Sus scrofa: one gene and its partner. The protein of the gene in region 1 binds, or shares a complex with, the protein of each later gene. Links are inferred from orthologs where the notes say so. Each region holds a gene or a part of one and is shown on either strand. Other genes may lie near its edges. The genes, in order: APLNR and APLN.

Evidence for each region.
Region 2: the proteins of APLNR (region 1) and APLN are in contact, whole or in part, in a cryo-EM structure (PDB 8XZG), measured with the Homo sapiens proteins. The link is inferred for Sus scrofa from reciprocal best matches to the Homo sapiens genes APLNR and APLN. Residues at the interface, in NP_005152.1 of Homo sapiens: Tyr35, Phe78, Trp85, Tyr88, Thr89, Tyr93, Ser106, Ile109, Phe110, Met113, Pro163, Val164, Arg168, Gln180, Cys181, Tyr182, Met183, Tyr185, Glu194, Glu198, Leu201, Gly202, Ser205, Tyr264, Lys268, Tyr271, Ser275, Cys281, Asp284, Leu285; in NP_059109.3 of Homo sapiens: Arg66, Pro67, Arg68, Leu69, Ser70, His71, Lys72, Gly73, Pro74, Met75, Pro76, Phe77.

Annotation. Positions count from the first base shown.
Region 1 is NW_018085198.1:66,806-71,122, forward strand, and holds the start of APLNR (apelin receptor), read left to right. Parts: upstream 1-1,508; 5' UTR 1,509-1,810; coding exon 1,811-2,962; 3' UTR 2,963-4,317. UniProt on the Homo sapiens protein: G protein-coupled receptor for peptide hormones apelin (APLN) and apelin receptor early endogenous ligand (APELA/ELA), that plays a role in the regulation of normal cardiovascular function and fluid homeostasis.
Region 2 is NC_010461.5:106,243,739-106,248,227, reverse strand, and holds the start of APLN (apelin), read left to right. Parts: upstream 1-1,664; 5' UTR 1,665-1,976; coding exon 1,977-2,043; intron 2,044-4,489. UniProt on the Homo sapiens protein: Peptide hormone that functions as endogenous ligand for the G-protein-coupled apelin receptor (APLNR/APJ), that plays a role in cadiovascular homeostasis. Functions as a balanced agonist activating both G(i) protein pathway and beta-arrestin pathway of APLNR.

The DNA of each region.
Region 1 (4,317 bases):
AATATTTGAGTTTGGGGTGCCTGTTTTAAGACCACTGCAGGAGGTTTTTCTGACCAAAACTCCCTTAAGATAGTGGATCCTAATTTTGTAAGACTTTTTTTTAAAAATTATTATTATTTTTTAAATGGCCTCATCCATGGCATATGGAAGTTCTCAGGCTAGGGATCAAATTCAAGCCGCAACTGAATCCTTTGTGGCAACACCGAATCCTTTAACCCACTGTGCTGGGATCAAACCTGTGCCTCTGCTGAGACCAGAGCTGCTGCAGTTAGCCCATTGTGTCACAGCAGGAACTCCCTTATAAGCTTTTTGAATATGGCCAAGACTCATTTCCTGATTTAGTTTTATCCCACTCTTGCCTAACTTTCAATGGCTTCCGTCCCTCTTGGGGGTGCAATTTTTCATCTTTTCTTGTGCATAGCCGCCTTCTTCTTGCCCAGAGGCCCTGGGAGAGGTGAAGAGACAGGGTCAAGTCAGTTTCTCCGGGACTTTGCCCAGGGCATCTGCTCAGTGGCCTCTTTTTTCTGCCTCCCCCTTCAGTTATAACTTCCTGACCCCCACATGGTCTTATAGAAACTGCCTGATCCATGTAGGGCAGTAAAGACTTGAGGACTCAAATGTACATGTGTTCTCACTGCATAGTAATTCATAACCCGTTCTCCTATATATGAACTCCTCCTTTCATTCACTCCCTAACTCACCCACCTACTTACTCATCCACTCAACAACCATTTAGTGATCACTCACCACATGCCAGGCACCAGCTTAGGTGCCTGGAGAAGAAGAAAGGCAAACAGCAAAACCCAAACAAAATTTACCTTGCAACATAGGGAAGATGTTTACCTGCTTGGCCTCAGTTTCTCCCTAGATTAATGACTTGATTAGAGATCCTTTAAGCTGGGGTTTCTTTCTTCTGTGACTGTCTTCGATCCTCTAAAACGTCCTATGCCATCTGCAAACTGCACTCTACTTATGAATTCTAGAGAAATTCCTCTATAACCAGGTCTGTGAACCACAGAAATCCAGAGAGTCAGAGCCGAGGTGTAAAGAAGGATGATGTGGGGGGAGGGACACAGTGAAGCCTGGACTGGGTGGGGGCTGGGAGAGTGGGAGCTGGTGTGTGGAGGACAGACTGGCCTGCCTGGAGGGCTTGCCAGATGCTCAGACCATCCTGCGAAATCTCACACCCCCTACCCTCCCTGGCTCCGGCTCCAGCTGGATTTCAATCTGCATAATTTGTCCCATTTAGACTGGCTGGGAGAGGGTGACAACCGGAGGATGCAAAGGACAGGACCGAGGAACACCGGAGGAGACCAGAGGGAGAGGGGCTGGGCCCTGAGGAGAGCAGGCTGCGAAGCACAGATAACATTCTGCCCAGCACGGCAGGGGTCAATTTGGTCCACTTGCCCAGTGACAAGAAGGGAAAAAAAAAAAAAAAAAAAAAAAAAAAAAGTGGGCTGTAACTTCAAGATCTTAAGACTCACAAGTGAGGGGTTGGTCTGGAGGTGGGAGGAGGGAGGGACAAGCCAAGGAGGAGACAGAGACACAGGAGGGCGAGGAAGTGCCTGAGCTGAGGCTGGGGCAGGGCAGGAGGCGGTGGAGGGAAGCCTGGGGGAGTCAGGCGTCCTCCTGGGTCCTGGGGCTTCAGAGGCAGCTCCTCCTGCTGCCGGAAAAGGCTCCGGACACCTTCAGCCCTCCTCGCCTGCGCTGAGAGGCTCCAGCCAGAGGCTCAGGGTGCTTGCTGAGCGGGTGACAGCCACGGAGCTGGTACCCCGGGACCCCCTGCCCTGTCCTCTCTCTGCTCCCAGGCATGGAGGAAGGCGGCGATTTCGACAACTACTATGGGGTGGACAACCAGTCTGAGTGTGAGTACACAGACTGGAAGTCCTCGGGGGCCCTCATCCCTGCCATCTACATGCTGGTTTTCCTGCTGGGCACCACGGGCAACGGCCTGGTGCTCTGGACCGTGTTTCGAAGCAGCCGTGAGAAGAGGCGCTCCGCTGACATCTTCATCGCCAGCCTGGCGGTGGCCGACCTGACGTTCGTGGTGACCCTGCCGCTGTGGGCCACTTACACGTACCGGGACTACGACTGGCCCTTCGGCGCCTTCGCCTGCAAGCTCAGCAGCTATCTCATCTTCGTCAACATGTACGCCAGCGTCTTCTGCCTCACCGGCCTCAGCTTCGACCGCTACCTGGCCATCGTGAGGCCGGTGGCCAACGCTCGGCTGCGGCTGCGGGTCAGCGGGGCCGTGGCCACGGCGGTCCTGTGGGTGCTGGCCGCCCTCCTGGCCATGCCGGTCATGGTGTTCCGCACCACCGGTGCCATCCTGCACGCCGAGAACGGCACCAAGGTGCAATGCTACATGGACTACTCCATGGTGGCCGCCCCCAACTCCGAGTGGGCCTGGGAGGTGGGCCTGGGGGTCTCGTCCACCGCCGTGGGCTTCGTGGTGCCCTTCACCGTCATGCTGACCTGCTACTTCTTCATCGCCCAGACCATCGCCGGCCACTTCCGCAAGGAGCGCATCGAGGGCTTGCGGAAGCGGCGCCGCCTGCTCAGCATCATCGTGGTGCTGGTGGTGACCTTCGCCCTGTGCTGGATGCCCTACCACCTGGTGAAGACGCTCTACATGCTGGGCAGCCTGCTGCACTGGCCCTGCGACTTCGACATCTTCCTCATGAACGTCTTCCCCTACTGCACCTGCATCAGCTACGTCAACAGCTGCCTCAACCCCTTCCTCTATGCTTTCTTCGACCCCCGCTTCCGCCAGGCCTGCACCTCAGTGCTCTGCTGGGGCCAGAGCCAGTGCGGGAGCGCCTCCACCAGCAGCAGTGGGGAGAAGTCAGCCAGCTACAGCTCCGGCCACAGCCAGGGGCCTGGCCCTGGCCTGGGGAAGGGCGGAGAGCAGACGCAGGAGAAATCCATCCCCTACAGCCAAGAGACGCTCGTGGTTGACTAGGGCCAGGGATCCCTGGAGGCTGGGGTCCCCTGCTCCACCCCCCCGCCTTGGCCCTTGCCCTCTGAAGGTCGGGTCCTCAGGAGACCTTCTCTCTTGCACTTGACTCCATCACTACCCAACCCCCCGCCCTCCGTATGGTCCTTTCTCCCCCTTGATTCTGGTTAAGAGGTTTGTGGTTTAGTGGCAAGGAATTGAGCCCTGCAGACCCAGGCTTGGCCACTCAGTATCAGTGAGGTGGACCTTGCACCGGTCTCTTAACCTCCCTGAGCCTCAGTTTCTCCATTTGTATAAAACGGAGAAAATGAAATGATGGATGCATCTTGGCTCAATAAAAATTCATTTCCCCCATGAAATTCATTCTTTTTCTCTGCTCTCCAGTTCTTTTTTCCCTCCCATTTCCTTTTGGTGTTCTTGCCCCTCACTCTCCTTCTATTCCCGCCACTTCCCCCCCCACCCCCCCACAATTTTTACTCTGAATCTTTACCTTCTGCCTCCCACCCCCTCCCTCAGAATTCGTCCCTCTCCCTCAATCCCTCCTTCCCCCTTTTACCTCCTTGTTCTGAAGGGCTCCTAAGGGTTAAGAATCCTGAAGCTTGCAAACAGGGCCCCAGTTCGAGCTCTTTATCCTGTTCCCTGAGGGCCCCTAGAGGGAAGTAGGCTGGGTGTCTGCAAAGTTACCGCTCTGATCCTCTGCAGCCCTGCAAAGTTACTGCTCCAAAGTCTCTGCAGCTGGGAGCTCCGGGGCTTCCCTCCAAACTGGACCGGTTTGCTGTCATTTCGGGCATGGGAGGTGCAGTGGTCCGCAGAAGGGGGACTCCCTTCCTGCAGCCGCTGCCTGAGGCCAACTAGATATGCTTTCTACCAATTTCCTCAGAGCCTTTCATTCACCCTCTCTCCTCTGTGTGGGGGGGACTGGAAAGCAGTGGGTTTGATGAAGCAGCAGGCTCTTGGGTTTCATTGTACCATTGGGGAGTGGGGAAGGGAAGAGGGAGAAAGAGAGGTGTCTGTATTTAGTCTCCATGCTGCTTGGGTTCCCTCCCCAAATCCTCATTCCTCCACTTTCCTCCAGAACCGGGACCTGCAGGTCTCTCCCTGTCCCTCTACTGCATCCCGACATCGCCAGGACATTTTCCTTGGGCACTGATGTGAGTTGGTGCCAAGTCACTTTGGTGGGGGTGGGGACTTGCTTTGTGTGTGTATGTATGTGTTGGTGTGCATGAGCATAACGTGGAGGGCCGTGTGCCTGTGTCACCTGTCACTTGGATGAACACCCCTCCCCCACTCATCTCTGCCCTTCACACCGTATCCTTGAGGGAAGAAGGGACCTTCTGCATCCACCCCCCACTGGATTTGGG
Region 2 (4,489 bases), on another chromosome or scaffold:
TTTAAGTGACAGCAGCAAGGCCCTACAGCAGATAAGGGTGGAGATGAGAGATCCGGTGTTTCTCCTCCTGGGTTGAAGGCTCTTTCCAGGGGCAGCACGGAGGGAGGGCTGCTAATGCCCCCTGTTCCCTGCCTGGGCCTCACAAATGAAGCGAGGTGCTCTCCCTCCCACCTCTCCGCCTTTTCGCTACTGGACTGGGGTAATGGGGCCATAGGCCATGAACTAGAACCCTATTTATTCCCTTCCCACTACCTTGACATACACAATAGGAATGGTTTCGAAAAGTTCGTGTGTATCTTCAAAATTATGTAGGGACCACCAACCATGTCCCAGGCATTGCCTAGGTCTGGGGATTCAGCTGTGAACAAAGCAGAGATCCCTGCTATGGAGCTGACAAACGTGGAGGGAGACTGATTTTAAAAATTGTGCTTATACTGGATTGTTTTAACATTTCAAAAATACGCTACCTCTACTGTGGTCCCTCCTATCTTTGGTGGCACCATACACATGGCTGTGTTTTTTTTTTGTGTGGAAATCTGGGCTTGCATATTGAGCAAACCGCCTGGCTGGCTGAAATGTGGAAACACCTTTGATTTAGGCTTTTAACATGTGTTGAGTGCCACCTATGTGCAGAGCCCGATACTGGGGACTTTGGAGAGATGCAGAAGCATAAAGAGACAAGGTCCTATCTGAGGGGATTCCCAGCGTCGTGAAAGACGGAGTCTCTTTTGTCGGGGGCCCCCAGGCTGTAGGAGCTGACAATCTGGTCTGGGAAGGGAGGCAACTTCAGGACCCACTTACAAAGGGTACATGCACAATGAATCCAGCCCAGACTGTTTGGAGTTGGGTAAAAGGCCTCTGATGATGATGGGGAGCAAGAGAGGGGATGCCATAGAAGCTGTTGCATGTCCCAATGGTGAAGAGGAGCCCAGGGGCGGCCTCTCCTGGATTACTGTCATCCTGGCAAGTCTTCTGAATGAAATGAGATGAGATTGGAGGCGCAGCTCTAAGTCTTGAAGAACTCAGCGGAAGAATGGGATGGCGTGGGGTGGGGGCACTCCAGGTAGAGGGTGTCTCCTGGGGGGGCCGGCGAAAGGAGAAATGGGGACGCTGGGCAGTTAGGCAGGCTTGGGCAGGACTGAAACCCAGATGCAGAGGAGAGCAGAGGGCCCATGAGTGAGGGTCTTGGCCAAGTCCTTACAGCTACTGAGCGGCAGTGGGAAAGGACCAGATCAGAGGGAGGGCGGGTGAGTGGGGGCAGCACCCTGGGTTTCTTGACAACTGTTAAGGAAGCCTGGTGACAAAGGGTTAAATATGCCCCTCCACTGCCCCAAATGCTTCCTGTGTTTGAAATCCCTCAGGTCTCCAAACCCTCTGGCCCCTGGCCAGGCGGGCATTGTCCCGGGGAGCGGTTGTGGGCTGTCGGAGCGGCCTCGCAGCCTTTGTTGTGGGGCCACCTCGAGGTTCCCTCTCGCGCCCTGGCTGGGGCTGCCTAGTGCGTGCCGCCGGGAGGGGGCGGTGCGGGAGGCTCGCTCCCTCTCCCTCTTCCTGGCCCCCCTCCAGCCCTCCCGATGACCACATGACCAAGTGGGCTCGCGGCCAAGCCACAGGCTACAAAATGCAGCCCCTGGAGTGAGCGGGGCGCATTCTCGCTGGCAGCCTGAGCCACGGGCCGTTGGAGTCGCGGCCGAGCAGTCAGCCACTTGGAAAGAGCTCGCTGCCGCCCCCGGAGCCGCCGCGGCCAGCTGGGCGGCGCTGCCCCGCGGCGCAGAGGGAGGCTGCGGGAGAGAGGAGGAGGCGGCCGGCCAGCGGCCCGCGGCGCGGCTCGGGGCGCACGGTCTCGCGGCCCGGGAGCCACGCGAGTTCCGCGCCCGCACGCACAAGCCGCGGCTCGCGCCTCGCTCGGCCTCGGGGCTCCCGGCCTCTCCGCCCCCGCCCCCTGGCCAGGGCTGCGCGGCGGCGGCCGGAGGAGCAGCATGAATCTTCGGCTCTGCGTGCAGGCGCTCCTGCTGCTCTGGCTCTCCCTGAGCGCGGTGTGTGGAGGTGAGTGCGCGCCCTCCCGCTCGCCTGGGCGGCAGCCCGCGCGCTCCCTGCCCTCCGCCCCGACGATCGCGCTCTCTCCGCCTCCCGGGGGGCCGGGCGCGAGCCGTGCAGCAGCCGCCACGCGCCGGGCGGCCGACTGACAAGGCGCCCGGGGCCAGGGGCCGGCCGGCCGCGGGCACCGCTCCTTCCGGGGTGCTCGGCTCGGCCTGGGGCATCACCCCCGCGGCGCCCGACCCCTCCTGGCTCCCCCTTGCATCCTGAGGAGCTCAGGGCCGCGGGCGTGTTCTCGGTGTCCGGCGCCCCGCACCCCACGTGGTGGAGAGCATGTGCGGGGAGGGGGGGGGCACGTCCCGCTGCCCTGGTGGATCATTGGAGGGAACTGACCTGAGTCCGGTGGGCTGGGTTCCTGCGTGGAAGGTTTTCTGGTTCCCAGCGGTTAGGGGCCGCCGGCCGGTCTGGGGGCGCGGGCCACTGGGGATGATGTGCCAAGATGCAGACGTGACACTTGTTGCATAGGCAGGAGCGCGCGGCGAGGGCGGCGGCGTGGAGCCCAGCTGTTGCTCCTTTCAGCCTGCATGTGAGCAGAGGCAGCCTCCCCTGGGCTGGGCCAGGCAGGGCCGGGCCAGGCTGGTCTCCTCCCTTACCCCCAAGTCCTGTCTGGTCTGCTCTCCTGCTCCCACGCAGAAGGCCCTCCTCGCAGTCTCTGTTCCCCACCAGGGATTCGGTTCTTCGATATCCTGGCCCCGGCCTCCTCTCTGCCCCAGGCATGGGCATGCTTGACCTCAGTCTCTGTCTCCAGGCACCAAACCAGGAAGCAGCGCCCGACCTGACACCTCCATGCAACTCGCCCCCACCTGCACCACACCCCCACCTGGCATACTTGGCACCCGTGCTCCCTCACCCTCTCCAGGCCTGGTCCCCACCCACACCCCAGCAGCCCCAGACAGGGCTGCCTGTCCTCCGTGCGTCAGTGTCTCCTGGGGCTGCCAGCTCTTACCTCCAGCTGCCACAGTCCTGTGATCTGGCTGTCACTGCAGAATAGGCAGGCGGGGACCAGGGGGACTAATGCCAGTGCCAGGGCTGGAGTCGCAGGAAGAGGGGTGCAGGGGGAAGGAGAGAGCAGGACAGTAAGTTTCTTAGAGGAAGGGCCCAGGGCGCTACTTGGTTCCAGATTCTTCAGAACAGAAGGATGTCCTACAGCCCTGGAGCCTGTGAGGGACCTGGCGGGGCGCCACTTCTCTCTTTGTAGGTCACCTCCTCTCTCTGCTCTTGCCTTTTGGCACTGCCCTGGCCCTGGGAGCTCTGCCTGGCTTCTCAGAAAGGTGAATTGGTTGGATCTGGCACCACCTGCCTTCAGCTAGCTGTCCAGTGGTCTCTCTCCGCAGGGCCCAAGCCCTGGGGCAGCCACGTCCTTGGTAAGAAGGGAGCAGGCCTTTTCCTCACAAACTCCCATCGGGCCGGCAATGGTGGAAAGAGAACGAAAGGTCCGAAGGCAGGACACGGCACGGGTCTGCCCTCTGGGAGCATGCCATCCCGTGCAGTTGGCGAGACCAGGCACCACGTGACACCACCGCTGGCAAATAGTCCAAGGTGGTGCCTTCAGGGAAGAGAGAGTGGGTGCAGAGAGGGCGTCCCAGAGGAAGATGGCCCTTCCTGATCTGCACCCTTGGGGCTCCCCCAGAGCCTACGGGGAGAACCTTGGCTCCCCTTGACCGCCACTCGGAGCCTTCCAGGGTCCAGCTGTTGGGGTGGTCCTGGTCAAGGGATAGCTGGTTTCCAGGGTAGGGAACGTTGTGTCTGGCCCAGGCCCTGCCTTTTCCTGCCTCACTTCACCAGTTTTTTGTTTTTGGTTTTTTGGGGTTTTTTTTGTTTGTTTGTCTTTTCTAGGGCCACACCCGCAGCACATGGAGGTTCCCGGGTTAGGGGTCTAATCGGAGCTGTAGCCCCCGGCCTACGCCACAGCCACAGCCATGCCAGAACCGAGCTGAGACTTCGACCTACACCACAGCTCACGGCAACGCCGGATCCTTAACCCACTGGGCGGGGCCAGGGATCGAACCCACAACCTCAAGGTTCCTAGTTGGATTCATTAACCACTGCGCCATGACGGGAGTTTTTGTAAGGTCACCTGTCCCCACAGCCTGCTTTGGGTAAATCTGTTGCCCTCACATTTTGCTCAAGCCCTGGCACTGGAAATGTCCAAAGTTCCCCCTGCCTCCCCACCCCACCCCCTGCTCTCTCTTGGAGCCGAGGAGGAGGGACACCTCCATGCAGGTAGCCACCAGCCCAGGGTCTGGGGACACATGTCCTGCTCCTCCTGCCCCCTGTCCTGGGCCAGAAAAAGGGGCCATTTCTGTGCCACCTTGCCCTTGGCGCAGGCTTGCATGCCGTCCTCAGCCACAGTCCCCTGTCAAAGTTCCAGGCTTGAAAACTGTGCTTCCTCTGC